7 linked regions of the Mus musculus genome follow. The protein of the gene in region 5 interacts with the protein of the main gene of each other region in a pairwise test. Links are inferred from orthologs where the notes say so. Each region holds a gene or a part of one and is shown on either strand. Other genes may lie near its edges. The genes, in order: Kctd9, Ssna1, Des, Mid1, Ehhadh, Fundc1 and Kctd6.

What was found.
Region 1: the proteins of Ehhadh (region 5) and Kctd9 interact in binary tests that used the Homo sapiens proteins (3 or more experiments, as listed by UniProt). The two-hybrid records come from large-scale screens. The link is inferred for Mus musculus from reciprocal best matches to the Homo sapiens genes EHHADH and KCTD9.
Region 2: the proteins of Ehhadh (region 5) and Ssna1 interact in binary tests that used the Homo sapiens proteins (3 or more experiments, as listed by UniProt). The two-hybrid records come from large-scale screens. The link is inferred for Mus musculus from reciprocal best matches to the Homo sapiens genes EHHADH and SSNA1.
Region 3: the proteins of Ehhadh (region 5) and Des interact in binary tests that used the Homo sapiens proteins (3 or more experiments, as listed by UniProt). The two-hybrid records come from large-scale screens. The link is inferred for Mus musculus from reciprocal best matches to the Homo sapiens genes EHHADH and DES.
Region 4: the proteins of Ehhadh (region 5) and Mid1 interact in binary tests that used the Homo sapiens proteins (3 or more experiments, as listed by UniProt). The two-hybrid records come from large-scale screens. The link is inferred for Mus musculus from reciprocal best matches to the Homo sapiens genes EHHADH and MID1.
Region 6: the proteins of Ehhadh (region 5) and Fundc1 interact in binary tests that used the Homo sapiens proteins (3 or more experiments, as listed by UniProt). The two-hybrid records come from large-scale screens. The link is inferred for Mus musculus from reciprocal best matches to the Homo sapiens genes EHHADH and FUNDC1.
Region 7: the proteins of Ehhadh (region 5) and Kctd6 interact in binary tests that used the Homo sapiens proteins (3 or more experiments, as listed by UniProt). The two-hybrid records come from large-scale screens. The link is inferred for Mus musculus from reciprocal best matches to the Homo sapiens genes EHHADH and KCTD6.

The regions. Positions count from the first base shown.
Region 1 is NC_000080.6:67,714,637-67,719,056, forward strand, and holds the start of Kctd9 (BTB/POZ domain-containing protein KCTD9), read left to right. Parts: upstream 1-1,461; 5' UTR 1,462-1,700; coding exon 1,701-1,748; intron 1,749-4,420. Other genes in the region: Cdca2 (cell division cycle-associated protein 2), read right to left, coding at 47-220, 306-369. UniProt on the Homo sapiens protein: Substrate-specific adapter of a BCR (BTB-CUL3-RBX1) E3 ubiquitin-protein ligase complex, which mediates the ubiquitination of target proteins, leading to their degradation by the proteasome.
Region 2 is NC_000068.7:25,270,209-25,273,903, reverse strand, and holds Ssna1 (Sjoegren syndrome nuclear autoantigen 1 homolog), read left to right. Parts: upstream 1-1,485; 5' UTR 1,486-1,554; coding exon 1,555-1,606; intron 1,607-1,775; coding exon 1,776-1,975; intron 1,976-2,322; coding exon 2,323-2,430; 3' UTR 2,431-2,865; downstream 2,866-3,695. Other genes in the region: Anapc2 (anaphase-promoting complex subunit 2), read right to left, coding at 1-104, 367-989, 1,227-1,388. UniProt on the Homo sapiens protein: Microtubule-binding protein which stabilizes dynamic microtubules by slowing growth and shrinkage at both plus and minus ends and serves as a sensor of microtubule damage, protecting microtubules from the microtubule-severing enzyme SPAST.
Region 3 is NC_000067.6:75,366,126-75,369,505, forward strand, and holds the end of Des (desmin), read left to right. Parts: intron 1-634; coding exon 635-717; intron 718-883; coding exon 884-925; 3' UTR 926-2,454; downstream 2,455-3,380. UniProt on the Homo sapiens protein: Muscle-specific type III intermediate filament essential for proper muscular structure and function.
Region 4 is NC_000086.7:169,878,182-169,882,790, forward strand, and holds the start of Mid1 (E3 ubiquitin-protein ligase Midline-1), read left to right. Parts: upstream 1-1,437; 5' UTR 1,438-1,728; intron 1,729-4,609. UniProt on the Homo sapiens protein: Has E3 ubiquitin ligase activity towards IGBP1, promoting its monoubiquitination, which results in deprotection of the catalytic subunit of protein phosphatase PP2A, and its subsequent degradation by polyubiquitination.
Region 5 is NC_000082.6:21,784,965-21,789,724, forward strand, and holds the start of Ehhadh (peroxisomal bifunctional enzyme), read right to left. Parts: upstream 2,871-4,760; 5' UTR 2,817-2,870; coding exon 2,743-2,816; intron 1-2,742. UniProt on the Homo sapiens protein: Peroxisomal trifunctional enzyme possessing 2-enoyl-CoA hydratase, 3-hydroxyacyl-CoA dehydrogenase, and delta 3, delta 2-enoyl-CoA isomerase activities. Catalyzes two of the four reactions of the long chain fatty acids peroxisomal beta-oxidation pathway.
Region 6 is NC_000086.7:17,569,278-17,573,827, reverse strand, and holds the start of Fundc1 (FUN14 domain-containing protein 1), read left to right. Parts: upstream 1-1,502; 5' UTR 1,503-1,647; coding exon 1,648-1,675; intron 1,676-1,820; exon of another isoform or gene 1,821-1,959; intron 1,960-2,368; coding exon 2,369-2,525; intron 2,526-4,550. UniProt on the Homo sapiens protein: Integral mitochondrial outer-membrane protein that mediates the formation of mitochondria-associated endoplasmic reticulum membranes (MAMs).
Region 7 is NC_000080.6:8,212,620-8,217,316, forward strand, and holds the start of Kctd6 (BTB/POZ domain-containing protein KCTD6), read left to right. Parts: upstream 1-1,461; 5' UTR 1,462-1,723; intron 1,724-1,882; exon of another isoform or gene 1,883-3,489; intron 3,490-3,495; exon of another isoform or gene 3,496-4,697. UniProt on the Homo sapiens protein: Probable substrate-specific adapter of a BCR (BTB-CUL3-RBX1) E3 ubiquitin-protein ligase complex mediating the ubiquitination and subsequent proteasomal degradation of target proteins.

The sequences.
Region 1 (4,420 bases), on a different chromosome or scaffold from region 5:
GTTAAATTTGAAAAAAAAAACTATGCAATCCAAGAACTTCTCTTACCGGAAGAGGTCTTAACAAAGCTTTCAGGTGTAATTCCCAACTGCTCTACGGTTACTGTGGTGAAGTCCAAAGGTGACTTAAAGGTATCAGGGGTGCAAAGATTAGGAGTCGCATCTGCTACATGCTTCTGAGGAGTCACAAACGGTTCAGTTCCCAATCTAAAAACGTCATTTTCTGAAAACGGACAGCACATTGGGGGTGTTAATACATCAAAACACTCAAATCTTCCATCTAACGAGGGCAACAGGTCACCACATACCAGAATTATTAAGGACACACTCCTTGGATTCAGAGAGAGGCTTGTCGTGTGAACTCGCATCCATCTAAAAGATGAGGAAGTTAGAGAAAAAAATGTGAAAAATAACCTCACTATAAGCCAAAAACAATGTGACAGAACTCTAAGGCAATCAATACCAGGGGACCACAGGCTGGGGCGTTCTGATTAAAGAAACGGCGGGAGGTACTATTGACTAAACAAAGCGGACCGAACTGATTTATCAGGGCTTTGCATCCCTGAACCCCGGCCGGATAGCAGGCCTACCTCTCCCGCCCAGGACCCTGCGCGTTCCCTCGGACGACTACGACAAGCGTCGCGGAGGCTCCGTTTCAGAGAGCACCAGAGGCCGGGGAAGGGAGCCGGGCTGGCCTCCTGCCGGCCGCTGCACACCAGACACACCACGTCCGGCCGAAGCGGTCAAGCTTCACTTGCCCGCCAGCAAATTCAAACCGCGGCCACGCCCCCGCGGAGGGATACCCACGAGCCGTGGACCACGTGTGACGTGGGTACCGCTCCCTCCGGGCCTCACCCTCGTGCTTTCGAACGGCGCAGGGAGACCTCCGTGGATCCCGGAAAAAACACGGCCAGCCCTAAATGACCCTGGCGAGACAGAGCTGCAGCAAAAAGGTGTCCTGGGGTCTACCAGTGAGTTCCGCGGAGCAACACTTCAAATGCCACCCCAAACCTTGGATTGGCTGCTGGAAACTTCGAAAATGAATCACTAGACCAATCGAGACAGAACCGCCGGATGGCTAGTTTACCCTATTAGCCAATCCCGATACCAACCGTTACCTCGGTGGGTGGGTACAGTAGAAGGGGCAAAAGCCTAGCGAGGAGCTGATTGGTCTATGGGACTTCGGCGTCCCGCCTCTTCCTTAGACCCAGTCTCTTTATGCAAATGAGCACTCCTACACTCCAACGTGCGCCTGCTCAGTAACGCTTAGAGCGGCCCTTTGCCCAGTAGGTTCTTCTCTGATTCGCTGATACTCCATTCCGTCAACCAGCCCTCAGCCTCTCTTTCCTTCCACCGCCGTCTAGTGTTACTCTGAGCCCACCCCCCAGCCGGACTCTGATTGGCTAAATACTGGCCGGTACAGCGTGTTGATTGGCGCAGCTCAGCGTCGGTCTGGGCGCGGTTGGGGGGAAGGGCCGCTAGCAGGCTGAGGAGCCTAGGGGCGGGGTGGGAAGGAGGATCGGCCAACCCCGGGGTGTGGGACTGAGGGTGCGTGCGTGAGGAGTGTGGGGCCGACCAGGAAGGTGGCGAAGGGCGGAGAGTCCGGGTGGGAGGCGGGAGGGGTCTCGCGGGCGCGGAGCGCGGCGGGTGGCGGGCCGGGAGCGAGGGTGGCGGCTCCCTCAGGACCCGGCGCGGGCGGCGCGATGCGGCGGGTCACGCTGTTCTTGAACGGCAGCCCGAGCAACGGCAAGGTAAGCGGTAGCGGGGGCGCGACCCGGGGACCCCCGCAGCCTCCGACAGCCCGGGGCTGCTCTGCCGGCGGGGCTCCGAGGCGCCACTGTCACCTGAGCAGCTGGCCGAGGTCCCCTCCCACCTTCCCGCTGCGCCTTCCTGTCCTTATCGGTGCTGAGTAATGCTCTGCCCGGGGAGGAGGCAGTGATCATGGAGGCGGGTGACCCTGGCCAGGTCGGGAGAAGAAAACTCCAGGGGACAGTCGAGTGACATCCTCAGAATGTGGACCTGGTCTGAACCACTTTCCTTCTCTCTCAAGGTGCCCCGGGCCCCTTGCCCCGCCACCGTGCAAACTTTTATACATGTTTTACTGTGCCGCCTTGTTTTTGATTCCTTAGAGGACAGTGACAGCAGACCTTCGGAATGACTTGATTTGACAGTAGCCTTAGCTGCATTTAGGCCTCTGTGGAGGGCGTGGTGCTAAATATTTTTCCGATGTTGCAGCTGCCTCTTGCCCCACCCTTGAAAGTTATTCTTTGGAAAATGTTGGCTGTTTCTGGCGGACTAGTAATGTGTGGTTAAATGACTGCCCCACACATACCTAAGCCTGATTAAAGTCTCAAAAGTAATGAACCCTTTTAAAGTTTCAGTTCAAGGTACATTGGCTCCACTCTGTAATTGACCAGAATACTCTGATTGCCCCGCGTATACATAGCAGAACTAACTATTCAAGGGCATTAAAGTGGTGCGGGGGAAGGGGGTGATGAGGGGTAGGGGAGCGATGTCCTTCAACCACTCTGCAGTTTTGAATAAACAGATTCTGGAAATCTGATCCACAGTGGGGTTTGTGCTCTGCGATTTTATTTTCTTAAAGATTGGATATTCACACAAAAATAGTAGCCACATAAGCTCAGCCAGTGCTTCAGAAATACAGGCTAAAAAGGCTGTCACTTCTGATCATCAGCTGTTCCTGGGCCACGCTGTAGTTGGCTAGTAGACTGTGTCGGTTTTTATTGAGAGATTTAGTGTGCCCAGTGTTAACAGTCGTATTGATAAGCACTTTTCACCAGTGTCGACTCTTGTGTGACTCCCTGAAGTCGAAGTGATCAGAGTTCCTCATAAGTGCTCAGCTCTGCTCTAAATCTCTTCTGAGTTCACTGTATGCTATTGTCACTGTAAAACTGAGTGGCTTGCTCTGGGTATATTATTTAAATTTTTAAAAACTTTGGTTTTGTCTGTGAGTTTCCAGGTTAATTTTATTTACTTAGTAAAAAAATGTTGAGAATCTCCGAAGATTGGGGAAAGTACTTCTCAAATGAGTATGGGCACATATGCATTACAATGATCATAGGACTGAGCCGAAGAATATTAACATTTAATATTTTTAAAAAAACTATGTCCCACCATGTCCTAAGCTAGAGAACATGTTGCAAGGCTGTTTCCTCTCCTTTCAGAAGGTGGAAATAATACTAAAATGACTTTTATTTGAAAAGATCACAATACATACCACCTGCATTTATGTATGTGGATATGTAGTGTATGCATAGTCCCTATATCTAATCAGGACTGGCATAAACATGACATGGACGCTCGTTAAAATATTCCCAAATGCAGTGCTACTCTGAGATAGTTTGGTTTCCTGTCTCTAAAGTAGAATATATCATTTAGCTTGTCTCTTTACTTACCTGGTGTCTATTTTTAATGCCCTAGTCAGGAGAATAAGTTTTTTGAATGCTTGGCTTTGTGGCCTTTGGGCTATGGGCTGTGATATAGAAAGGCACAGATTTCATCACCATACATCAAGTTACCAACATGCACTTTTGATTTGTGTAACTGATTCGTGCTTTTAATGTTGATGAAAGAGCTGATATTTTCTAAATGAAATGAGAATACCGTGGAAGGTGTAAGATGACCCTTGGGGCTTTATGGAGGAGTGTGTGTGTTGTTGGTTTTTTTTTTAATTTGAAAACAAAATAATTTTAAAAAACAACAACAACTTGGCTTTTCTAATCTGGAAAAGCATGGGAGCCTCTAGTTACTGAACTTGTCAAGCTGGTCTTGTTTTCTTCCACAACAGAGGTCTCCAGATGTAAATAGGTCGATAGCCAACAGCTTACTTAGCAGTTGGTTCTCGTTGACATACAATGTATAGAAGAAGCCTGTAAGTATAGAAGTTTACATCAGGGAGTCTTAATTAAATTAGCCATCAACTAAGTGCTAAGTGACTTTAAAACCTCAAAGAAACTGCAGATTGAAGCCGGTATTAATTATGCAAGCACAGTAAACCCTGAGAAAGCGGCAAAGCTGCTGCTTTTCCTAGCATCAGCAGTAAAGTTAAAAAATAAAAGGATCTCACAAGCCAACGAATGGCATGTTTTAAGAAAAGTCTTTGCTTAATAACTGCTATAATCAGCTTCTTCCTTCGGGTATATTGTTCTTTGAACTATTAGCCCGTGGTCTGCTGAGGTCATCCTCGTCATGACAGGCCATGACCAAGACATGAAAAGTCTTTTCCTGTACATGCAGGCAAAGGTCTTGGATTTTTTTTTTTTCCTTCGCCTTAGTTTTTAAAAACCTTTGGGATTCTGGAGAGGACTCAGGGGTTAATAGTACTGCATAGGCCGCAAGTGTGAGGAGCGGAGTTGGGATCCTAAAAAGCAAATATTGGGTAGATATATGCAGCAGTCCACCT
Region 2 (3,695 bases), on a different chromosome or scaffold from region 5:
CATACTCTCCTCGGCAGCGGTCTTCCATCCTTTCCCGGGTCACCTGATGCAGGGTGGTTGTCACGGCCTCAGCACAAACCCGCTCCAGCAGACTGAGCCTATGCCTAGAAAAGATCCCCGCTCATGGAGAACCCACAACACACATCTGTCCCTTACCTAGGAGGGCTCTCCCCATAAAGATACTGCACACACACCCTATGCCTATGTCCAGGACAGTATAAACGTGATGAACAATAATCCCTGGTTACAAGTATGGGCAAAAAAGACATCGCCAGTTAGTCTATAAGCTCTATTGAGAGGTCTTTTGAATTCAGGACTAATGAAGCTTGCAGAGAAACCGCAGCATGGTTAGGAAGCAGTACTCACAGGACCTGGCTCAGCTGGTTGAACTGCTCCAGTGCCTGCCGGCACCAGCACTGCTGCTTGTCACTGCCACATCCTGCGCACAGAGGACTCTGCAAAAGTCGGTAGTACCTGCGGCGGGCATACCGGCTATCTAGCTCACCCTCTAGTTCCGGGTCTGTGCCCCCTTCTCCTTTTCTCTTGCTCTGCATATAGACTCTCAAGAAACGACCATAGAGGCGCTGGACCATCTCCTGGAATGTCCTAGGGGTGGAAAAAAACAGGACTCCCCGCAACATAGTGTGAACTTTCTCCCGAAGCCCCTGAGCTCCAGCGCCCATCAGCAAGCCCAGACGAGTCCATTTCTCTAGGAGTTCTAGGCTATGCAGATAGGGATCCAAGCGGCTTTCCAGCAGACCGAACGCATCCAGGAGCAGCCCAAGGCACTGGGGCTCATCGACAGAGTTTTCTCGCAGAGCGATGGCATTCCAGAACTCCGTGGCAATATTGCCTTGAAGGTCGTTCTGCAGCACTTCCACGAACCACTCCTCCAGGACAGAGTGCAGACCGTGTCCCCTCAGAACCTCCACCGCTGCACGAAGCTCTTCCTCCTTTGGTGGGACTGCACCGCTGGTCCGGGAAGACGCCTGGAGCACGGAAAACCGTGAGCAGAGGGGCGGAATAGGGGTAAAGGGAGAGGAGGGGCATGGAAAAACCCAGCAACCGAAGAGCTGCCAGGGAACCAAACAAATCAGGTAGCTGAGGAAGGAGGCAAGCCCACTACAGGCAGGCCACGGAGCTGTGAGGCCCCAAGGGTGGACCCCCTAAAGTATGCAAAGTCGCGGGAAATCTGCACAGGCCCGACAACCTTTCCCCGGCCTCACCAGCCCCAGCGCGGCCGGCGGCACCAGACCGGTGCTCACAGTATTCCAGGCAACCAAGAGCTCCTGTCCAGGCCTAGAGTCGCAGTCATCGGAGGCAATAATTGTCGCCGCCGCCGCCGCCGCCGCCGCCGCCGCCGCCACCGCCACACCCTCGGCCTCCATCACTGTCCACAAAACAGACCCGCCCAGTAGAGCGCACGGTGATGACGCAAGCGCGGACCTGTGGCGCAGCCGTGACGTTCACCAGCCCGCGCGCTTTGTGGGCAGTGCGCAGGTGCGGACTTAGCTGTGCAGGCGGCGGTTGAGGCTTCCGGACGCGGTGCAGACCATGACCCAACAGGGCGCGGCGCTGCAGAACTACAACAACGAGTTGGTCAAGTGTGAGCGTCGGGCACTGAAGGCCGCGGGCCGGGGCCGGCCGACCCACTCGGGAGGCTGCGTGGACATGCCTCACGAGCCCCGCTCTGCGGCCTGCCCCTCTGTCATTGCTGGTTGGGGTCGGAAGCTCACGAGTCCCCACCCACAGCTCTGTCTTCCCACCCACCCTAGGCATCGAGGAGTTGTGTCAGAAGCGAGAGGAGCTGTGCCGGCAGATCCAGCAAGAGGAGGACGAAAAGCAGCGGCTACAGAATGAGGTGAGGCAGCTCACGGAGAAGTTGGCCCGCGTCAACGAGAACCTGGCGCGCAAGATCGCCTCTCGCAACGAGTTTGACCGGACCATCGCAGAAACCGAGGCCGCCTACCTCAAGGTGGGGCTCTCAGATGTCTGTTGTGAGTGCCTTACTACCATCTGAGGCTAGGTAGGGCCCATTGTGGTTCAGAGGCTGTAGGTGGAACAGTGGGCTGTCTGTGGGTTCCAAAAGTGAGCATTGGTGTATTGGACAGAGTACACGGTGTGGGCCTGAATTAACCCAGCCTGGCTTTGCAGGGTGGAAGAGCTCTGGGACAGGTGCAGAAGGGAGGATGGTTTTACTCCATAACCAGTTGGCTACAGCACAGATGACCAAATTGAGATTTCCATCCTCCATTATTAGAGCCTGAGGCAATGGGACCTTCCTACCAGAGAAATAACATCCTTTTATTTCTCTGGCCCCAGATCCTGGAGAGCTCTCAGACTCTGCTTAGTGTACTCAAAAGAGAAGCTGGGAACCTGACTAAAGCCACAGCTTCAGACCAGAAGAGTAGTGGAGGCAAGGACAGCTGACGAGTGCCTGTTTCAGCCGTGGCCTATGGCTGCTTAGTCCTCAACATGTCTGTCCTAAAGCATCTTTGTTCTTCGTGGCCTCAGATGTCTTTTATCTCTGGTGCCCAGAGGGGCAATTTCTGACCTCCACCTGCCTAGACAAGAAAAGCCCTAGGACAGTCCAATGGAAGAGGTGTTCCCAGCTCCGTACTCACATGTGCTGTGGGGACCCTGAGCAGCTCCATGAGGGGCCTCTCTCTGAAGCTCCTGAATCCCTTTGGGCTACCAGGAATGTCCTGGTCCTGGTCTGAGTACTGTGGGAGCCCCTCACTTTGTCTCCCCAGCCACTAGGGCCCCAGGCCAGACATGTTGAAGAAAGAATCTTGACTCCAGAACCAAAACCTTAGGGCCCATCCCCATGGCCTCTGGTGTTTCAATAAAGGTTGTTTTGCAAGATCTGTGTCTGCTAGCTACCATATATCCTGTTGGTAAGAAGACCTGCAGTTTTTCCCTTTCTTATCTTCAAAACACAAAATGCTGAAAGTACTCACCTCACACAGGTCAGCCCTAGCCCTTAACTCTCTTTGCAAAGGTGCTGGTGTTTTCCCCAAGTCCAGAACACAAACCACTTTTCTGTGAGGGGCTTTGCTCTACGATGGTGCTCAATACAGAACCTGGCTCAGAGATAGAGACAGGGACAGTAAGTTCTGTTTGGTCCAATCTGCTGCTGCTGCTGTTAGGACCCATCTTCCAACCACATGTGTTGCTTACTTACTATTTCCATGTGCCCTATGACCCAGCCCTTTGTCACAGCTTCTGGGGAAAGTTTGGAAGTATTTGGTGACCAAAAAGATCCAGAAAACAGCTGTGGTAGTTTACACCTGTCATCCTTCGTTGAGGAAGAAGGATCGCCTTAAAATCAAGGCCATTCATGTCTGCATAGTAAACTGTAAACCAGACTGGGACATAGTATGAAACCCTTTCTTAAACAACAAAAAAAGTACCTATAAAGCTGGGCTTTTACTCTCTGAGAGAAACCTACTTCAACATTCTCCTTAGCTCTAGTCAAGCAGTGACAGGAAAAGAAGACACATTCGGTGCCTGCAGATGGCCTACACTGGCTGCCAAGGCCTCTGCGAACAGTTTCCAAGCAGGCAGCTCTGCATTCCCCTAGCCTTTTGGGAATCTCTGTTGCTATAGCCTTGTTACAGGCTTATACATCGGGAGGTATCCAAATCAAACATGAGAAAAGATCTCCAAAGTTCCATTTAGCCCCATTCCTGTGT
Region 3 (3,380 bases), on a different chromosome or scaffold from region 5:
ATGAAAACTCAGATTTCTTTTTTCACTTATTTGTTTATTCAGATACCAAGTATGTGTTCTGCATATAAAATCACTTTTGCTGCGGATCAGCAGCTCTGAGACAGAATAAGTGGACTATCATGGCTGCTACTTCCCAGAGAGGAAACTGAGGCACAGGAGGGACTAGCTCCTGCATCATTAAGACATTAAACAGCTCATCCTGGAGCCTCTAGGTTCCTCCAGCAGGTCTATAGGCCTGGGCTTTGAGGTCCTGTCTTAGATGAGAGTCCACGGATATAAACTCACCATTCAGGACTCTTCTGAAAATCTGGAGGTGGAGAGAGAGCAAGGCAGGATAGGAAACATGAATACTGTTCCCGGGCCTTGGGTCCCCTGCTATCCTGTACCAACACACAGCACAATCTTTTGGCTCTTGAAGCCATTCCTCTAGCAAGACTGGTCCCTCTCTCTATAAATCATCTGTTGGGTGCTGGGTTCCAGGATGAGGTCTCAAAGAAGTCAGACAGTTGTCATAAGAAAGGTGAAAGTCAGCTAGCACTTGGAGCAATGCAGCCTGGGGTGGATTTCCAGTCATGGTGCAGCTTAGGTATGAACCTGGCCAGGCTCATATGAGCATGGGGTGGGTCTATTACAGAAACCAGCCCCGAGCAAAGGGGTTCTGAAGTCCATACCAAAAAGACAGTGATGATCAAGACCATTGAGACCCGGGATGGAGAGGTGAGTGGTGTCGGACCCCTTGTCTGACAGCCCGGTGTCTTTCACCAGCTGGGTGGCTTCCAACCCTGGATGGGGTGGGTGGGCCTTGCTGCCTTGGGGTGGAACAGTTTGGGGTGAGGCTCTTCTAAGCCAGCAGTGGATAGACTGGCCTTCTCCTCCTGCTTAGGTTGTCAGCGAGGCTACACAGCAACAACATGAAGTGCTGTAAGCCAGGAATTCAGTGTCCTGGCCCCGTCCTCACTGCCTCCTGAAGCCAGCCTCTTCCACTCTCGGATATCACACCCAGCCACTTTTCTCCACTCACAGGCTCTGACCCCCCCTCACCGATCACCCCTTTGTGGTCTTCATGCTGCCCAACCCCAGGGAACCCCTCAGCCACCTCTGCAGACCCTCCCATGAGCCCTGGCTATTGGCAGGTGTCAAAGCTGGCTCTTAAGAGAGAACCCAGCTCAAGTCATCGCCCTTCCCCTTCCACCTTTGTGACCCCTGGCTTAGGAGAGGGTACCAGAGAGGGTGTTGGGATCTGCAGGGTCAGGACCGAGTTTGTGGACATCCCCAGCCTGGGTCAGAGACAGAATGAAGCCTCAGCGAGCTGAGATGGAGAGTGGGGGGCCTGAAAACTGCCCTCATGGCCCCTCTCTTTCCCATCGCAGCCCAGGATGGCCTTGGAAAGCGGGGGCTGTAAGAGGGAAGCGGAAGGTGCTGGATGTGGGAGCAGGAGCTACAGAAGGAGAGAGGATGGGTGAGGAGCTGGAGAGGAAGGAAGAGAGAGGCAGAGAGTGGGCTCAGGTTGGTGGGAGGGTACCACCTCCCCTGCCTGCCCCTCCCACCGCAGGGGCCTGGACAGAAACAATAATAAAGAGACAAGCACAAACCTGCATGGCCCTGTCATCTTGACTGTGTCTCAGGGGGAGTCTGGACCGTGTCACACCCCCATTGCCCTGGGATGAACTGTGTCAGTGTCATGCTCAGCGAGATTGAACAGTAGGCCTCTGGGTGCTGTAGTCTGGGGAGCGTGGGGTGCTGGAGAAGGGGTTTCTGTTAAAAAGCCACAGAGCCTTCGGTCCAGCCTTCTATCCCCTTAGGCTACCTATCCCCTTAATATCACCTGGGCATCGGGTAAGGTAGGGATGGGGACAGTCCTATTCTACAGACTGGCTGTGAAGGAAGTTCCCTCGGTCCTTTTGTCCCCAAGGCACTGCCAGTCCCTTTCCATTGAGACAATGTCTCCTGTAACCCAGACTGGCTGCAAACTCCCTCTGTACCCAACCATTCAGCTTTAAACTCCTCATCCTCGAGGCTCAGCCTTTTAACCCTTTCTTTAATGCGCAGAAGCCGATCCAGGCAAAATAACGTTGTTCACAGAAGTGCAAAGACAAGACTTTTTACTTGGGTGAAAAACAGCTCGGCACTCTTAAGAGAATGTCAAGCCACCCTCTATCCATAAGCAGTTCCAATGGAATTTAGTCTCAATTAAAATACCAGAGGGAGCCAGGGCCGGTGTGCTGCCTGTAATCCTAACAGGGGCTCAAGAGGTTGGGACCAGAAGACTTCAGGTTCAAAGCCAGCCTCTGCTTCCTAATGAGGCCCTGTATAAGAAACAAAACAAAACAAATACAAACAACAACACCCAAGAACAAACAGAAGGAAAATTTGAGGTAGTTAGGGGAAATGGAAGGGTATAGGAGTTATTGAAGAAAAGAAAAGAGAAATCAATTGAATAAAATATGTATATGTATTATGAGGCCATGATAACATAGATCAGTGATTCTCAACTTTCCTAACGCTGCGACCCTTTAATACAGTTCCTTACGTGGTGGAGATCCCCCAACCATAAACTTATTTTTCGCTGCTACTTCATAACTGCAGTTTTGCTACTGTTAAGAATCATAAGGTCAAAAACCAACCAAACAACAACAACAACAACAACAACAACAACAAAAACGAACAAACAAACAAAAACGACCGGGCAGTGTTGGCGCACACCTTTAATCCCAGCACTCAGGAGGCAGAGGCAGGCGGATTTCTGAGTTCGAGGCCAGCCTGGTCTACAGAGTGAGTTTCAGGACAGCCAGGGCTACACAGAGAAACCCTGTCTCAAAAGAAAAAAACAAAAACAAAAAAGAATCATAAGGTCAATATCTAATATTTGACCCCCACAGATTGACAACTGCTGACTTAGAAAGTTTTGTTGATGAAAAGGAACCGCCTAAGACATTGATGGGATAAAACAAGCGTCACGCATGTATGGGATGCTGGAGCGTGTTTAAGGAGGCCTTTCAGTCTAGGGGGAGACACTTAGCGACAGAGAACTTAGCGACAAGTGAGGAGCCTAAAGGTCTGGGGGCGGAGCATAAAGTTATCTCTCTTCCCAATTCTTCCTAAGAAAGGTTTCAGGTCAAAGAAAGATTTAAGGAACATGATAATCCTTTGGTCCTGAGGATCCATATTGCTCCCTGCCCCATATCTAAATGACTAAAGGAGTATGGAAGAAGATAAAAATCAAAATGATGATGAAGTCACACATACAGGTGCAGGCGAATGAATCTAATGAGGCTTTAAAGTCTCTGTCGGTCATCCTACACTAGCTCTCTTGGGCAGTGCAGTCTGTCTTTCCCCTCTTTTTGGATGCACCTCTGTTTTCACAAATCCCCACTTTCTTG
Region 4 (4,609 bases), on a different chromosome or scaffold from region 5:
ATATTAATCAGTTATGATCATCTAGTGGGCAAAGGTCCTGATGTTGCTAAATATTTGACAACACACTGAACAGCTAGGTCCATGGTGAGGAATTATTTGTCTGCAAATGCTAGTAATTTCAAAGTTTAGAAGCCTTCATCTACCCAACCTTGTTCAACCTAACCCATGACCCTAAGGATGCATGTGGCTAAGGATGACTGTGAATACTGTGCAACACAACATTATAAATGTATTTAAAACATTAGGACTCTCTCTCTCTCTCTCTCTCTCTCTCTCTCTCTCAGTGTGTGTGTTGTGTGTATCTGTGTGTTTTGTGTGTGTGTGTGTGTGTGTGTGTGATTTGTTTTAGTAAGGTATCACCATGTGAAAAGGCTAAACAAGCTTGGGTCTAGGCCATAGTGAATGACTCTGAAGAACAAATAAATGGATTGAGGGCAGCTGGTGTGATTAGGGGGACTCTAAAACTTCTCAGTGGGGAGCTGAGGCAGAGCTATGGACTCCCAGGTGCTGGTGCCCTGCTGCCAAAATCTCAGAGAACTCAGCCAAGCTCACACATATTGAACCACACCTCCAGCACTCCTGAAACCACTAAATCATTATTTTATCTGTTATTATTTACTAATACTGCAAAAACTTAATATATATATTGGATTATCCTCAAACTGTGAGCACTTGTTTGGGAATATATATATATTGTATATATATATTTTTTGTATATATATATAAATTAGTGAGCTTACCAGTTTAGCACTGATAAACTCAAACACTCAAAGAGGTACATACACTTATGTAAAAAGAAGTTTCATTAACTAAATTTCTGTATTCATTGTTCTAATTAGGAGATGTTTTATCTGAAATTGTGCTTTCAGTCACCATCGATGAAGATTCTTCCTCAAGTCCTGTATTTCAAAATGTTTGTGTGCTCAGTCCCATTAACATTTGCTTCTTTAGGTTGGATATAGAGTTTATGTGAAGACGAGGTGGGTAACTGTCTTGGTTGCTTATTTCAGTTAGAGTGATACTTACAGCAGTGTGGTTTTTCCCTTCACTGTTTTTACAAAACTAGGTATCTAGAACAAGATACACTTTAAAAAATATCTTTGGGTCCTGAGGGTTGAGGTTTTCTCGCTGAAATCATTCTTCACCTTTAAAATGCTTTAATGCTTTTAAGGGGCTCTTAAAGTGCAAGGGTTTAAGGCCCGGAGCTAGTTAAGCTTTGAGCAGATGCAGTCTGTTAGACAAGAATAGAACTCATCCTTTACTTTGGGGAGCTCTGACACAACATCCAGCTGCTTCCAGTCATTTGACTCCTGAAAGCTGCCCTAATCCTGGTAAAGGCAGCCTCTCCTGCACCCAGGTCCACCCACTGCTCCTGATTGGCGAGGCTCTCCGCGACCGGAGCCCGCCGCCTACGACGTCCCTGTGAACTGATTTGAAATAAGAGCCAGGCGGTCCTCGCTAGCCTGCGCCCGACTTTTCATAGGCTGGAAAAGGAAAGGTTGAGAAACTTGACATTGTCTTGGGTAGAGAGCGTCTAGAAGCAGATCAAAGAATAAAAAGGGAGGGGGACGAAAAACGTGCTCTTTGCTGCCTGTGGATTCGACCGAGTTGCTTTTGTCTTGTGGGCTTTTCTGCCGGCTTTGGTGTCTGCGCTTGGAAGCCTGCGGGTGCGCTTCCGAGCAGCTTGCTCCCTGCCGGATGGGTCATGGAATTCTAAACATGAGGCAGGTAAGCTTGGGGGTTGTGATTGTAGCTGTGCTGGCGCCAGCCACAGAAGGAGGGCTTTAGCTTGGGGCCCCTGCGACCTGTTACTCCCAGAGCGGGCGGAGTGATCAAACGCAGCGTTCCAGCAGATCCATTAGGTGGAAGGAGGGGACTGCCTTCTCTTCCTAAGGCTACCTTAGAAAGCACATCACCTGCCGGCACCCCACTGCCTCGTCCTTACTACCTACCCGCGCCAGCTTTTGCTTCTAAGAGTGGTTGCTGATGTCAGGCAGTCTTTGTAAAAGGTTCAGAGCGGTTTGTGGAATATGCAAATCAATTCCAGTTTGCGGGCCTCTGGAATGTATTGTGCTGGATTCATCTCAAGCTTTTAGCCTCTACCCTATTATGCTTCAGGTTAGAATAAAGACAACTGCACAGTCTGACAAAGAAGCACGCTGGGACTCTTATCTTATTTTGCTTTCACGTTTTGAGCACTTTACTGTGTGTCCGAGGCTGAGAAGGCGAAAGCAGTCTGGATGGAACAAGCTGCACTTCCAGCGGAGGCAGGCGCGGGGAGGGGGGAGGGGGGTGTTACAGACTTTTTTAAAAACCGTTCTAGCACTTTAGGAGTTGTATTTTGTGTTGCTGCTGGACGTAAGAACACAGTCCCGGAAGTACTGAAGGGAGACCGGTCTTGAGTGTGTCTCTGTGAAGAATTCCAAGCCAGCAGCTTCTTCCGTCGCTCTAGGGCATAGGGATACAATTCCTTATCAACTTAGGTAGAAGTTTATGAGGTTTATAGCTTTGCCGTTGAGGAAAAAGAGAAAAGGAAAGACTGGATTACAAAGCCTAGAAGAGGGTGTAATTTACAACTCTATCACAGTTGGAAAAAAAAATCTTACGTCAATGTTTTATTGCCGAGATCGATACTCACAAGGGAAAGACAAAAGTAAAAGCCTTTCAGTGACTGGGAAGGACAGAGACTCCCGGGGAGGAATGCTAGTTACTCTTGCCAGAGCGGAGTAACTCCGGGTGGGAAACTGAGCATCTGTTTTGTCACCGGAAAACCTCTTCTCTTTTTTCTTCCAGTTGAGTTGGGTGTGCCCCACCCCAAAGTGTTCACTTTAGGCGAAAGTAAACCTTCCCATGAGTGGTTGGGCCAAGGGGTTTACGACTTTCCGTTTCACTGCCGCAGAGGTAAAGCAGAGGCCCTGCATGAAAGGTCAGGAGCAAAGGCCCTCACATTTCTTATTCGCTAACTTGCTCTTCTGGACGAGCTTGGGAAATTGCAGGAGTACAGAAAAAAGCACATGAAAGACTGTGTGTGTGCTTTCAGCAAATTGCATCTGCCTAGCTGGAGAGTGGTGCAGAGGCTGGCTTTCTCGAAGTTTTGCGATCTTATAGAGCAGCCTCATTCTTTGAATTTCTAGCAAGCACATGAGATAGACAAAAGGGGCAAGGAGGCTTGCTGGATAGGAGCAAGAAAGAGAATAGGTACACAATACTATTTTTCACAAAGGTCCTAAGCCGGAACAAAGAAGTTATTTGATGCTGTGTGAAGCCACCTGTCTTGTCCTCGGTGATGTGTGAACTCAATTTTTAGAATCTTTGTGCCCACACAGTTCCTCTGGAATGGGGTGACACTCCCTCTGTCTGATGCCTCAGGCAGGCTTGTCCAGAGCTTGGGATGATTTTTCCCATGTGGAACTGTGGCATTTGTATGAAGTTGGCAAACAGCCCAGTGTTGAAGTTTTAACTGTACAAGTAGGCATGTAGTAACTCCTTAGTTATTTAATGAATGACCATCTTTTCATCCCACATCTCTGGATACATATATAACATTGTTCTTTCGCCTATTGGGTAGTTGAAAAGAGGGAGGGACTGGGGGAGGAGATGCAAGAGTAGCGATCATTGTTCATACAAGAAACCAGGCATGAGATGGTAGCATTACTGCATGGGCGAGTCCCAGATTTGTTCTTGTTTCTCTTGTTGGGGGAGGGGAAGAGACCTTACCACTTCATTCAGGCAGAGGAATAACATCCACCAACCAATTTGTCATCTTAGGCCCAGCAGCCCCTGGCTGTATTTGCAGGGTTAGCTATCAAACCAACCCATGTGTCATCAGCTCAGCAATGAAACACAATCCTCTTGCTGGTAAGTGATCCGTCCCTAGGGCTGTGCAAATGCCGAACAGTGGGGTGGCAAGCCAGGACAGATCCCTACCACTAACTAGTTAGAAATTCTCCATAGCCCAAAACTCGCCAACACAATTAGAAGGCTACATGTTTGTGTGTAAGACTCAGAAAGTTTGGGCTCTTACCAGATTGTCAGCACACAAACAGTGCAGGTCAAAATTCTTATAAGGTAAATGAAACAAGCAAGCAAACAAACATAAACCTGACAAGTTCATCAGGAAGTCATTTTAAAGTGTGCCAACCTCTCTTGGCACTTTGATCAAAAAAAAAAAATGGAAAACTTTTCAGATTCTTCTTTGAGAAGGAATTTGCTGCGTTCCCAGGCAAAAGGAAAGGCATGGCCACCTGTTATAGAAGTCCAGCCAAAAACAACAGGTTTGCTTATGACATTCCCACAACTGCAAATATCCTCCCTAAATAGCAAGTCACATTAATTGTCCCACCACAGACTAAGAACAAATATTTCATTCTCAAGTTGGAAAAAAATAGAATCTCCAGATGAAATTCCCTACCAGGCATATTTTGGGATTTTAGAATCCCAATAACTTTAGAGAAATATACTAAGCAGCTGAGATGACTTTTCTTTTAGTCTCTTGGTCTCCCAGCTGCTATTTTGTTTTTTGTGAGGCTACGATGCTGCTGATGCAAGGAAGCTGTGATTGAGTTTGGTCAGCCCATTTTGCATTCTTTAGATTGGAGTTAAAATGCCC
Region 5 (4,760 bases):
GTCATTTACAATACAATCTCCATTGCATTTACCTTAAGATTTCTCCTGATTGGGGAGGGACATAGCAGGCTAAATGCTAGGAACACACCAGAGAGTACCAGCAGGAGTGGTTGTGAGACTGTGGGACATTTCCCTCCTGACCTCTTGATGGACATAGTACTCAGGATCAGAGAGTTCAGTAGAATCCCTCTATCAAGTAATCCTATCAGTACATGAGCGCCCCACGTGGATACGGAGCCATATTGCTTATGCTTTCTTTGTGAGATCACGTGCTGTAGCCACTTCCTGGTTTCTGGGCTGAGATCAAGAGTGAGACTGGCATGATCAATAATTTGCTTCTGCCCTGCCCAAAGTAGCCAGTAATTTTTGCACATTATGTATTAATCAATGCCATCCTTCATATTAACATAAGTACAGTATTAAGTCAAGTGTGGTGGCACATACCTTTAATTCCAGTGATTGGGAGACAGAGGATAGTGGCTCTCTGCAAGTTCAAGGCCAGCCTAGTTCACATAGCTAGTCCAGGTCAGCCAGAACTACAAAGACGCTGTTACAAAACAAACAAACACAAACCCAAAACAACAACAACAAAAACCTCTCTTGGGGGCTGGTGAGATGGCTCAGTGGGTAAGAGCACCCAACTGCTCTTCCGAAGGTCAGGAGTTCAAATCCCAGCAACCACATGGTGGCTCACAACCATCTGTAACGAGATCTGACTGGAGTGTCTGAGGACAGCTACAGTGTACTTACATATAATAAATAAATAAATAAATCTTAAAAAAAAAACTCTCTCTTTTTTTTTTTTTTAGCCTCCATGAGTACCAGGGCATGTGATACACAGATATACTCTCAGGTAAAAGACCCATACACATAAAATAATAATAATAATTAAGTTTAAAAAATAAAATCTAATAACAGTGTGGTTTTAAATCTCAGTTAAAATGAACATGTCTCCTCTTTTCTGTTGTTTGTTTGTTTGCTTGCTTTTAAGATTTTTTTTTTTTTTTTGAGACAGGGTCTGAATAGATCAACAGTTCCTTCTGCCGCAGTCTCCTGAATGCTTCGATTCCAGGTGTGTGCCACCCCGGCATCTGTTTGGTTTTGCTCCAGCAGCTGGTGGTGGGAATTTTCAAATGGCCTATGTTTACTTTATTTATTCTGCTACTGTGCTGCTAGTTCCTTGGGATTGACGCATTCCCTCCCGAAGGGGCTAAGACTGGGGACGCTAAAGAGACTGACAGGGCACTGAAAGCTAAACACATCTACTGATGTTTAAGACGCCCCAGGAAGCTCAGAAACCTGTAAGTTTCATAAGATCCGTCTCCAAAGTTACAGGAGAGAAGCAATTGTGAGGAGGGGGCTCCTCACGAGTTGGGGTGGGCTTTCCAGGGGTTCCGTTGTTTCAGAAGCAACTATACTCTTGTAACTGACCTCAGTAAAGTCACTAATCTACCGAGCTAGACGTGGGTGGAATCCTTTACTTGGCCGGTCACAGATGCCCTCTCTCGGGTGAACGGTTAGTTGTTCTCATCCATTGTACAGGACTATTCTCCCAGCCAAACTGCTGCAAGTTTGGCTTGAGCCTGTTTGCCAAAGATCGCCAATGCTGGGCTTGTTGGTGGTAGACTTTCATAGAAGGACTGGACCAGAACACTCTGATTATCCAGCCACCCCTCTTTGCCCTAATTGTACCCTTGGGTCTCTAGGAAGGACTAGAGGATATAGGTAGGGAAGGATTAGGGGAGGGAGTTCTTTATTTATTTTTTTTTTCTTTAGTTTTTCGAGACAGGGTTCCTCTGTGTAGCCTTGGCTGTCCTGGAACTCACTTTGTAGACCAGGTTGGCCTCTAACTCAGAAGTGCTGCCTCCCGAGTGCTGGGATTAAAGGCGTGCGCCACCACGCTCGGCTGGGGAAGGGGTTCTTAACTGCCACGGGGAGTCATGATCTTTGCTGGGGAGGGCTGATTCCAATGTGGCAGTTCTAAAGTCACTCATGCTCCTGTCCCCGCCCTCCCCTCCCCCAACCTGCCCCCAGCGCACCACCCTGTTCTGAAAGTAAGCCTAAATCCATTGCATTGGTCCCCTGCAGAGTGAACAGGGCTGGAACTGTACCTAGGTTTGTCCTTTAGACTGTAAGGTCTCACCTGAGAAAAGGGTTTTAGCAAGGTCTCACCAGTGAAAATTATACAGTATCTGTCACAATCCTGTCCACCACTTCTGCAATGTATGGGTGACTCCTCCTGAGGCTAATATAGAATTATACTCTATTCGCCGGTGATATGGAGTGAACAGGGTAAATGAATATCATTTTTTCAAGAAGACAGATCTCATTTATAATAGTAATGTGCTAAGTGCATTGCACAGGAGGGCACTGCAGGTGGTGTAAATGAAACTTCAGCTTTTCAGAAAATACTATCCAGTAGGCCTCCTCTGACAGGGAGAGTTGACACTCAAGGCACTAAACTCTGCTTTTCTACGAGTCAGCTAACTATAGCTTTTGGCATCACAGAGACGCTGGGGTTGCAAGCCGGCAGTAAGGTTGCAGGAAGGGGTTCAAGCAGACACTTGCTGCATCAACCTCACCTTTGTAAGTTCCTGATTCGCCAGAACCAAACGTGGGCCTCGCAGTGAGGTCAACAGCTGACAGAAGGAAGGCCGGAGCCAGCTGCTCATTGGCCCGCCCTTCCAGCTGAGACAAGCCCCCTCCTAGACCCGCCACACCCCACTGTCCGGGCGGTGTTACCTGATGGCATTGACCGGTGGATTGCAGAGGCGGATCATAGCCAGGGAGTGGGGCAGCCTCAGATACTCAGCCATTTTCTCAAGGTATCCTGCGCCTCTGATGTCTGGGGCAGCCCGGGGCTCCTTTTCTGGGCCGCCCTGAGAGGAGGGGCGTGCTCTGAGCCAATGGGAGCCGCTGCTACCGCCTCCTGCCCCTTGCACTTCGTGCTCCCTGGGGCGGGCTGCGCTCCAAGGAGCGCGATCTTCCTATGCTTCCAAAGGGAATGTCCACAGGCAAGCCAAACTGCTGGGTCACACCACCAACGTCAATCACATGTTCACAAAACAGCCATTTACCAGGGCACGAAGCCCCGGCCTTCTCTAGTTCTGTCCCTCCTAAAGGCTGGGATTTTTCACAGTTCATCCAGGAACTGCACACATATTATGGGCTGGACGTAGGCTGCAGCCTGACAATAAACCATGCCTTGTCTCTTCCCTCTAAAACAGCCTGGGGCACGGTCCTTCCAGCTGCGCATGGCTCCTCTTGGTTGCCAAAGTCCACCAAGTGGACAGAAGACAGTGTGCAGGTTGACAAGTAAAACCGTACTTGTAAATCTTCACTGATGTTTCACAAGTTTTAACAATGTCTAAATATTATTTCTAGGAATGTTACTTCTAGGTATGGTGTCTAGGAGAAATCAGTCCCAGCATCCTAGGAACCTGAGCAGGTAGAGTTCAAGGTTTAATAGCACTGAGTGGCCTTATTACACCCCACCCCCTTGGAGCAAGGATCGATAATAAGCCCTCTTTGGAGTCATCTCAAGACACTTTATAATCTCCATCTGTAGGACTCGGTCACTGGCCATTAGGTTTGCACTTTTATTTTAATTGAGCACGGAACTTTCTGTGGTGTCTCCCACAGTGGGTTCTTGGTGAAGGCTTTAATATAAATCCATTAAATGGCTTGGATGTTTACAGTTGGCACCTCGGTGGGAGCAGAACCAGCGAAAGGCAAGTAAGGCATTTAGGGAACAAAGTTCAAAGGGCAGTTCCAATCAGGTTCTGCCAGTGCTCCTCAACAGCAAAGCCTCCTATCACTTAGTCCCTCTGTAAGTGGCAGAGGAATAGGGATACAGCTAGGTGGCAGCACAGTGGGTTCTCTTTTCCTAATGGTACAGAATTGTCTACAAGCATGGGTTCCAAAGTTGCTGAGTTCATGGATGCCAATTAAGCAGGTTCTACCGTGTTGCTGTGTGTAGATAGTCTTTTGATCTTCCATATCCTTCTATTTTACTTATTTTGTCTTACAAATGTAACCATACTTTTGGCTACGTTCCTGGATTACCTACTATCTTTCTCCACCCCAATCCCTTCCAACCCCACAACACTAGGTCAGTCAGAAAGAGAGTTAGAGGGAAAGGGGGCGTAGATCTGTTTAGACTACTTTCTGCTGATTAAGGGCATCAAGTTCCTTAGGGGCAAGTCCAGTCTTTGTCTTCAGGATATCCAATTTCTTCTTCTCATCTTTGCTCACAGCAACAGGAACCAGCAGCAGCAGCAGTGGTGGAGGCAGCAGCGGCAGCAGCAGCAGGGGGGCAGCAGCCTCCACAGCTTCTGGGTCTCTGGCATTTTTATACCCTTTCAAGAGTCCACAGAATTCCAAATGTAAACTAATTTTTTTTTTTTTTTGGCAGAATCACACCCCTGCCAGAGCATGAGACGAATCATAGTCAGCTGCTGTGAGAGCAACCCCATATTCCACACCTGGGACTAAAACAAAACATATTCACACACCATAACTGTTTTCAAAAAAGAAACAAAATTCTTACTACATACACAGTGCTACTTCATAGGATATCACTGTCTTAGGCAAGCACCTCACTCTTTCACTGTAGCAACTGTGTCATCTTACATCCTATGTTCACAGGGTATCTCAGGTTTGTTAATGCTTCAAAAAAAATCACTATAAGCCCTGAAACCACTACAGTGCCCAGAGGGTAAATGCTGAACTCTGTCACAAATACTGAGTTTTTGCCTGCT
Region 6 (4,550 bases), on a different chromosome or scaffold from region 5:
AGTGAGACAGAGGAATCCAGCATCAGAGGCCAGCCTGGGCTACATAGTGTGACCATGTTTACAAACAAACAATCCTAATACTGGAGAGGCAGAGGGAAGTAGGTCTGTGTAAGTTTGAGGCCAGCGTGCTCTACATAGGGAGTTCCAGAGAATCTTAGGTTATGTGAGATGTTGTCTAAAAATAACCAACCAACCAAAAATACAAGCAAAAGTCTGCTCGACTAACAGGGCACTAAAAAAACTAGAGCCCTCAGCAGTTTGAGAAAAATGTGACCTGGGGATCCATCCCATATACAGTCGCCAAACCCAGACACTTTTCTGGATGCCAACAAGTGCTTGCTGACAGGAGCCTGTTATAGCTGTCTCCTGAGAGGCTCTGCCAGTGCCTGGCAAATACAGAAGTGAATGCTCACAGCCATTCATTGGACTGAGCACAGGGTCCCCAATGGAGGAACAAGAGAAAGGACCCAAGGAGCTGAAGGCATTTGCAGCCCCATAGGAGGAACAACAATATGAACCAACCGCTATTCCCAGGATACCCAGGGACTAAACCACCAACCAAAGAAAACACATGGAGGGACCATGGCTCCAGCTGCATATGTAGTAGAGGGTGGCTTTGTCAGTCATCAATGGGAGGAGAGGCCATTGGTCCTGTGAAGGCTCTATGCCCCAGCATAGGGGAATGCCAGAGCCAGGCAGCAGGAGTGGGTGGGTTGGTGAGCTGGAGGAGTGGGGAAGTGATAGGGGGAGGAGGGTTTTCAGAGGGGAAACCAGGAAAGGGGATAACATTTTAAATGTAAATAAAGAAAATATCTAATTAAAATTTTTTTTCATTAAAAAAAAAAACCTTTAAAATATTTGCCCTGACACTTGTTAAAATAGATAGTGGGTCTATTTTAATTTGGGATACAACAACAACAACAAAAAGCTGGAGATTTATAGTGCATAATCTGAGGGGGTCGAAGTGTAGAGTCCTACCAAGAGGAGACATCAAGGGAGTTTATTGCTGAGCTAGTTTAATTGGGTTCTTACTGGAGAATGACTGGGTTATTAGACATCAAGCAAGAAGTGGGCCTGAAATTTCTGTTAAAGCCAACAGAATTCTTGAAAGAACTAAAGGCCAAAGATAGGGCCTGAAAAAAGAACACCTAATCAGAAAGACAGCTTCGTTGAAGCATCCTGACTAAAGACTTGTTAAGAACAGTCTGCCAACACTAAACTGATTATCTTGTTCTATTACCCTTAGCCGCTCCTCCCTCCATTCCTTTAGCGTAAAAAACAAACAAACAAAAAAACCAAAAAGCAAAAACAAAAATAAGACAAAACAACAAAAAACTCTTAGAAACTTAGAGCAGGTTGGGGTAATGCCCAGGCTACAGTGGAAAAGAGCACGGACTACATTTCCCATAAGCAATAGGAGGGCGGGGACTCAGCTATTCCATCACAAGTCCCAAGCCTTGCGGCTGCGCACAAATTGTTGGAGGTCGTGTACAGGGAAGAGTGGCGGTGACGCGACTGTGTGGGCGGGGCGAGGAGGAGGCTGAGGAAAAAAGAGAGACCATAGACTTCCAACTCGGCCTAGAGCGTCCTTTAAAGTGGTGGGGAGAGGCGGGCAGGGACCACCCCCAACTGGCCGCTGGCGGTATCATGGCATCCCGGAACCCCCCTCCCCAAGGTGAGCAGCCAGGGCCCGAAGTAGTCTCTGGGACGCTGCCCACAGCACTCGACCTTTTATTGCTATGGTGTTTCTCCCTTTCCCTCCTCCAGTGTTTCTGGGGCTCTGTCGCTGTACAGCCCCTTTGCGAGAGCCCCTTTGAACCAGAGGTCTCCTTTCCCTCTCTGCGGAATTTAGCATGCTCACCTACACCTAACCAAGGCTAGACCCTGCCCTGCCCTGCCCCCACCTCGAGCCCTTCTCCATCTTGCAAAATTAGGAGGGTTGGCGGGTTGATTTCCATGGTTGGTTGCGTTTTAGTCCTGCTCTGATTTCCTCTTGCTAGGTTCCTGACTTTTCCTTTCATGGAAGGATCATCCCCTCGCCCCCTTTTCCCACAGATGGAAATGTACCCTGCCCTGACCTTATTCTCATTGTGCGGGTGACCGCCCACTGCTTTGTAATTCAACTGGCCTCTGGCTGCGTGTCCCTAAGCCTTGGGAAAGGAAATGCCGATGCTGTTGCTAGGCCCTTTATGCTTGAGGCCCTAGTCTCCCAGATCGAGTTAATCACGCTCCTTCGTTTACATCTGGGCCTTTTTAGTTGTAGACCAGACATGACAGTGTGTTGGCCCACAGGTTTTATGAAAACAGCTTGTGAGACGTTTCAGACTGTAGAATGAATGTTTTTTTTTTCCATTTTGTATTTTTAAAGACTATGAAAGCGATGACGAATCATACGAAGTGTTGGATTTAACTGAATATGCAAGAAGACACCACTGGTGGAATCGAGTATTTGGCCACAGTTCCGGACCTATGGTAGAAAAATACTCAGTAGCTACTCAGATTGTAATGGGTGGCGTGACTGGCTGGTGAGAACATTCTTTTCATTAAATTTTAGTGGGAACCTGGCTCTTGTCCTTTTGTAAATGGCACAGCCTCCATAAATCTTCAGTGGCTCCCCACTTTTAAATTCCAGAAGAACACAACTTTGGGGCTTTTCCCGGATCTTATTGGTTGTATCAGCCTTCAGATAGTCCTGGTTGGATTTTGATGATTTCCCTCTGTCAAAGGCCCACCATAGTTCCACTTCCACCCTTTACACTTCCTTTAATTCATTAACAAATTTTCAACTTAAGCAAGTTAATTATAAGTAAGTTGTTACTTGCTATTCAGTGCCAATAACTGGAAAAAACATGAGAACTCCCATTGCAGAACTAGCCTCTAAGATTCTCAGCTCTGTACATAGAAGCATTAATGGTCTGTAAAAATTATTCACAATGATGCATCAGATTCTACATTTTTTGTGTACTGGTTCTGATTATGATAGTGCTTTGAAGAAGATCTGAGAAGATTGCCTTTGCTTTAGAATTAATGCAATGATTACTTATTATGCAATAATTTGGAGTACAATAAGGAGTGGCTAATAACCATTAATCAAGCAACAGCTCATGTAAGCACATATTTACATTGTTGTTACCATGTATTTTAATTCTATTATTTTTGGAATAAAATATTAACCAGATAAAAAGGGGCAGAAACAGTTCAGTATTTTGAAATATGTTGATGACTCTTTTTTTTTTGAAGTGACAGTGATTAAGTTGTAAGCATTTTTTTTCTTTACATTTAAGGTAAATTCATCTTGTGCTAATTAAAATATTTACATACTTCCTCTTGGCATGGGAAAATGACATTTATTCATGTGTGTTTTCCATGAACCTCGGAATAATGATGCCCCATGCCTTCTTGTAAATGCCATTTCATAATTTAAAACAAACAAAGAACAATTATGGTGAAGATTCCATGGAGCACAGGCACAGTATTAATACTGCTTTATTGAAAAATCATACAGTTAGAAGGGAAATTTCTGCTCAGGGCCTCGGTCAATTAGATGATTCACTGTAGGATGATTACAACTCTGCCCCCTTAAATGCATTTATAATTTGGTGCCAGAGGTGATTGGTTAGTGAGAATCATGGCGGAAAGCCAGATCGTTGCACATTTTCTTCTTACAGACCTAACCTGCTAAGAAGGCCCATAACTGCCAGGTCTTCCTGAAAACCCTAATGGCAGAGCAGAAGTTAGTAGTGACTGGTACACAGCTTGTGTAGCTGTAGCATTCAACCTGGGGTTTAATGAAGACCTCACTACTTGCTTTTTTCTTTGTTCTTCCTTACTGACTCCTGTATAAGAACCATATTCTTGATAATAATAACAACAACAACAGTAGTAATACATTTGGATTGTCAGTATCAGACAAGTATTCAACCCAGGAGCTATGTAATAGTTTGTGGGTATTTGTTTTTTACATCCATCTATTTGTGTGGGGGGCACAGATGTGTCCCAGTATATATGTGGAGGTCAGAGGACAGCTAGTAGGAGTTTGATCTTTACCATGTGAGTTTTGGGGATCAAACTGGGCTCTTTAGACTTGGTAGCAAGTGCTTTGACCTGCTCAACTCTCTCTATGACCTGGTCTGTGTAATAGGACACTTATATTCAGGTGGCTTGTTTTTGTTTTTGTTTTATGTGGGCACAAATTCAGGACCTTGCAAGCATTCTAACTCTAAGTGATATTGCCAGCTACATAGGTGATTTGTTGGAATGATTTGAACTGTAGTTTAGATTCAGAGTAGAAAACATTTGAAATCTTTTTAGGATATAACATTGATGTGATATTGTGGCATAAAAGAGGAACAGTTAATATAGGCATAAACCTAACTTAACACTTGAGACCGACCAGCTCAAGACATGAATAGCCTAAGGAGATTGGATTTAGCCATAAGTTTTTGGTAATAAGAAATGAAAACTAGTATGAGAAAAGGTGGTTGCTAGGAGACCTGGAGGCCTTGAATACTGAATCTGCTTTTAGAGTGTGATCCAGAAGCAGAGCTATG
Region 7 (4,697 bases), on a different chromosome or scaffold from region 5:
TGGTTGTGAGCCACCATGTGGTTTCTGGGATTTGAACTCAGGACCTTCGGAAGAGCAGTCAGTGCTCTTACCCGCTGAGCCATTTCTCCAGCCCTATTCCCATATTCTTAATTAGTTTGTATCCTTGCTTAGATGTCAATGTAGCCGTCCATTGTGTTGAAGTCCACATTGCTTATTTAACCTATCAATTTGATTTTTGGAGAAAAAATAGAATATTAGATGATGATCATACATATAAAAACTAGATTTCAGAACCACCTCACAAACATGCAGATGTGTAAACCAGGTAAGTTTCTGTTTTGTTCTTTTGAGAAAGGGTCTCGTTATGTAGCCTCATCTGTCCTAGAGACTAGCTATGTGGGCCAGGCTAACCTAGAGCTCACAAGAGACCCACATGCCACTGCCTCTAAGTGCTGGCATTAAGGATGTGCACTACTTTTACTATGCCTGGCCCAGGTGAGTTTCTAAGGCCAGTGGCTTTTCACCCATGTAGAAGTGGATTGAGATCTGGCTAGCTAGAAGTGGTGGCTTTTGCATCTTGTCTATGCATGGAATCCAATTAGCCCTGCAGCCTTGATGTCCTTCCTGAAGGGACATTACCCTTGCCAGTCCCATCCAGACTAAGATCCTCAGAGGTATTACACAGGATGACGTTAGTTAGCTCTGCCCTTCTAACTGGCTGCTCTTCTCTGCCTAAAAGGCTGGATCGGTGGTCCCTCTAAGCCATTACTTTACAGAATGGCCTGCCTTAATATATAAGGCCAGGAGTCTTATATATTAATACATTAATAATATTAACTACATTATTATGTATATATTAATATAATATAATTACATCAATATTAATAACATTAAATGTATACTAATATTTTATATATATCAGATCGTCACATCTTCCCTTATTCTCCAAGGCAGCCTTCTTTTTTTTGTTGTTGTTTTTTCAAGACAGGGTTTCTCTGTGTAGCCTTGGCTGTCCTGGAACTCACTTTGTAGACCAGGCTGGCCTCGAACTCAGAAATCCACCTGCCTCTGCCTCCGGAGTTCTGGCGTATGCCACCAAGCCCGGCCAAGGCAGCCTTCTTATTGGACCGCTCTCACCAGGATTCGAACTTGTCTTGTGTGTGTCTACTGGCTGCTTTTTTGAGTCTTGAGACGCGCCTCGGTCTGGGTGGCTGCTCTTCTCTCTAAGCCCTGCATGCGATGAGGTCTATCGACTTAGTGAAAACAGCTGAGGAGAAACAGTTGCGGAGAAGGAGTCCTGGGCAAGCAGGGAAGAGACTGCTGGCGGCCAGGAGGAGAGGCTGAAAGCGGAGGGGGAGTTAGGGGCGTGGCCTGGGCGGAGCTCCGCGCGGGAGTCCTGGGCGGGGCGGGGATAGGAACGGGACGGAGGCGGGGCTTCGGGACTGCTGCAGAGCCCGCCTGACCACGCCGCCCCGGCAGCGCCCAGAGTGCCCGCGGCGATCCGGCTTCCCGGCCTTCGCCCCGCGCCGCCGATAGGGGGCGTCCGCGTTCTCGGCGCCGCGACTCTGCTGAGAAGGCGCCGCCCGCGCCGGGCAGCTGGAGCCGCAACTCCGGGCTCCGGCTCACTCGTCCCCTCTGCCGCCGCCGCCGCCGCCGCCGCCACCGCCGCCGCTGCCGCCGCGGGGCGCGGGCTCGCTCGTCCCCGCGCTCGCGCTCTCGGGCCGCCGGCGTCTCCCGGCCGGGTCGCCTCCGCGCTCGTGCAGTGAGTGGGGCGCGAGCGGGGCCTGCGGGCCGGGGCTGCGGGAAGTCGGGCTGAGGAGAACGGCGGGTGGCGGCCGCGCGTCCCCGGGCTGGCACGAGCCCGCGGCGGGGCCTGGGCGGGGAAATCGGGGACGCGCGGCCGCCTCGGGCTTTGGGCTCCGGCTCGGGTTCGGGGCTCGGTGCGCGTGGCCGGCCGGGCTTGGCTTGCGGGAGACCGCGGAGTAGGGACCAGCGGGCTCTGCGGGGCAAAGGGTTGGTGTTTTGGGGAGTGGTGTTTATTAGCCGCCACTGCCCTAGTTTAAAGCTCTGCTTTTTGGGTTTTGTGCACAAATTGCAGCTTTTTACCGGAATTTTGGGATGTCACGGCGATTTAGTGCTGGGTGTTAAGAGGTGATCCTTGGCGAGGTCGTGGGGAGCCCCTGCAGCACCTGCTGGGCGATGGCAGCGGAGGCTGTGTCTGGGGGTGGGACGGGGAAACGAAACGTGACTGAGATCCTGTTTGGATATTCTGCTGAAGTTGTCATGTTTCTGTTCTGTACACCAGTACATACAGCAAGTTGATAAACCTGGTTTCAGGATTTCGTGATGCAGACAAATAGACCGATGTGACCTGGTTTAGCTAAGAATGTCTGGGATAGCCCAAACAACCTGCTCCAATGTACCCCCCTTGGCAGGCTCATCTTTTTCGCTGTTGCAGATATTCTAGTATGGGAATAATGGTGGGGTATTACAGGCCCAAAGCCAGAAGTGTTTCAAAAGAGTAAAGATCTAAGTAGGTAGGGTGGGAGAATCACCCTTTGGATGAAAACCAGGAGCCCACACGGATTCTTAGTTTTTTGTAATACCGTAGGTAGAAAGATGGCCATAGAATTTGAAAATTTTTAAAGTGTATTTTAGCTGAAGCAATAGCGTGGAAAGCAGTCTTATGGTCACTCCTATGATCCATCGTCGCATCCTGGATTTTAATAGTTGGGGTCTATTTTAAACGGAACACGTATGTGTGTCTTCTGCTTTATCTTGAGACAACCCTGAGTCATGCTTTCTAGAAGTCCCGAGAGCTCACGTGTCTGTTTGTCTCTGCGAACGCTGGACATCATTTTACCTTTAGTTTTTCTCACGGCAACTGCGGTGGGATCTCCGGGAAAGGAGGGCCAGGGACGGGACAGAGTGGGAACACAGATTGGTCCTAACCTGCATGTTCGCCCACCGTGTCTGACTTACCTATTTAAATTTTGGTGATGCTGCGAGTAGTAAAGGGCGGTCTACTCAGGTTCTCACAGCCCTCTGCTGGCATGCTGCACGTGAATCCAGAGCGCCACTCCTCACTGCCCTGTCGGCCAGTTTTACCTCCATTGTGTTTAAACGGTGTGGTTACTTTTGGGAAGGTCATAATACCCATTTTGGTGGAAACTGAGGGAAAGTAGAATTTTATGATTTGTGACTCTGACAGCACTTAAGCTGGAGAGTATATATTCTTCTGGTTTGATACTGTCAGAAGATTCATAATTTCTTGTAGGACTTTCTCCCTTTTTGCCTACATTTCCTTTCTTCTAGCCCACGAGGTTGAGAGAGGGGTTTAGTTAGTGGTAATTTAGCTTTATAATCCCATTATCCTTGTGCGCTCGCTACTTGTGCTGGCCTGTATGTGGATGTTAACTCCGAAGACGCCAGGAGATGCCACTGAACCAATTACTATAAAAAGTATTTCACTTTCAAACTCCCACGTTCCCAAGAACAGAGAAACTCAGTACAAAGGCAGCTTGGAAGGTAAGTATAGGTGGAGAGAGAAAATTTACCGGTCTTCATTTTGGGATGGCAGACACAAAGGTTTCAGTAGAAAAGCACTTGGAAGGGCTACCCAGAAAGCGTGGGAAGGCAGTGACTACAGTTGTATCATTACATTTTCTAATCCGAGGTTAGCATTACGGCATATAGACTGTTACAGGGGAGGAGGACTTTTGCTCTGGAGCGTCTTACTCAATAGCAGAAGTAAGTCTAGAATGTTTGTGCTGTCTTATCATAACCCCCACTGTAGCTTTGCTGTGGTAAGGAGGGTTCTCACAGGTTAAGTTGTTAACTTCCTGGAGTGTGCATTCTTCAGATTTGCTAGGGTCAGTAAATTAGTAACTTCTTTTCAGGCTTCTAGAAATTCTTCAGAATATGTTTTTCTTAACTACCTGCTAACATACTATCAGATTTTACACATTAGTTACAATGACCTTTGAAGTTCAAGCAAGCATGATAGTCTTTAGGACCATAATTTTTTTTTTTTTTTGAATCAAAGGTCAGGTATTTTCAGGTAAACCGATTTTACAAGTCAGAAAGCCTTTCTTTGAACTTTATAGTCGTTGGTTGTAGCCATGACTCTAAGAAAGATCTTTCGTAAGGGAAAGTCACTTAAAGGAATCTTATGAGGAAACATTTCACCTTGGCCTGCTTGATGCCCCCTTGGAGGCCTTCTGTCGCCTGGCTTGTTCTCATTAAGCCCTCCACTGGAGGAGGTTGTGCCGGATGGGAGAGAAGATGAAAGGGAAATGAATTGTTAGCGTCCCTGGAGAACGATGAGGTGGAAGAAGCTGAAGCTACTTCTGGGTTGTGTTTATTGTATCCACCCCTGAGATGTTCTTGGCAGGCATCAGTTCAGAGTCCGGCTGTTGGATAGGCTAGAATCTTGCCCCTCTTGTCTCTCTAGTTGCGTCTCTGTTTATGTTTACAAGGAACACATACCAATTTTAAATCAATCAAGACTACTCCCATTTTGACTTTATTGGTGATCAATTTAGTACAATATTTTAAATAGATTTTGCTAGCTTATATTGGAAGTGACTAGTATTTTATTTTGATGTATTTTATGTATAACTATAAGGTCTTGAAGTGCTTTTTAAGAAACCTGGGCTTGTCCAGGAGGTAGTGGCACATGCCTTTAATTCCAGCATTCCAGGAGGCAGAGGCAGATAAATCTCTGAGTTCTGAGT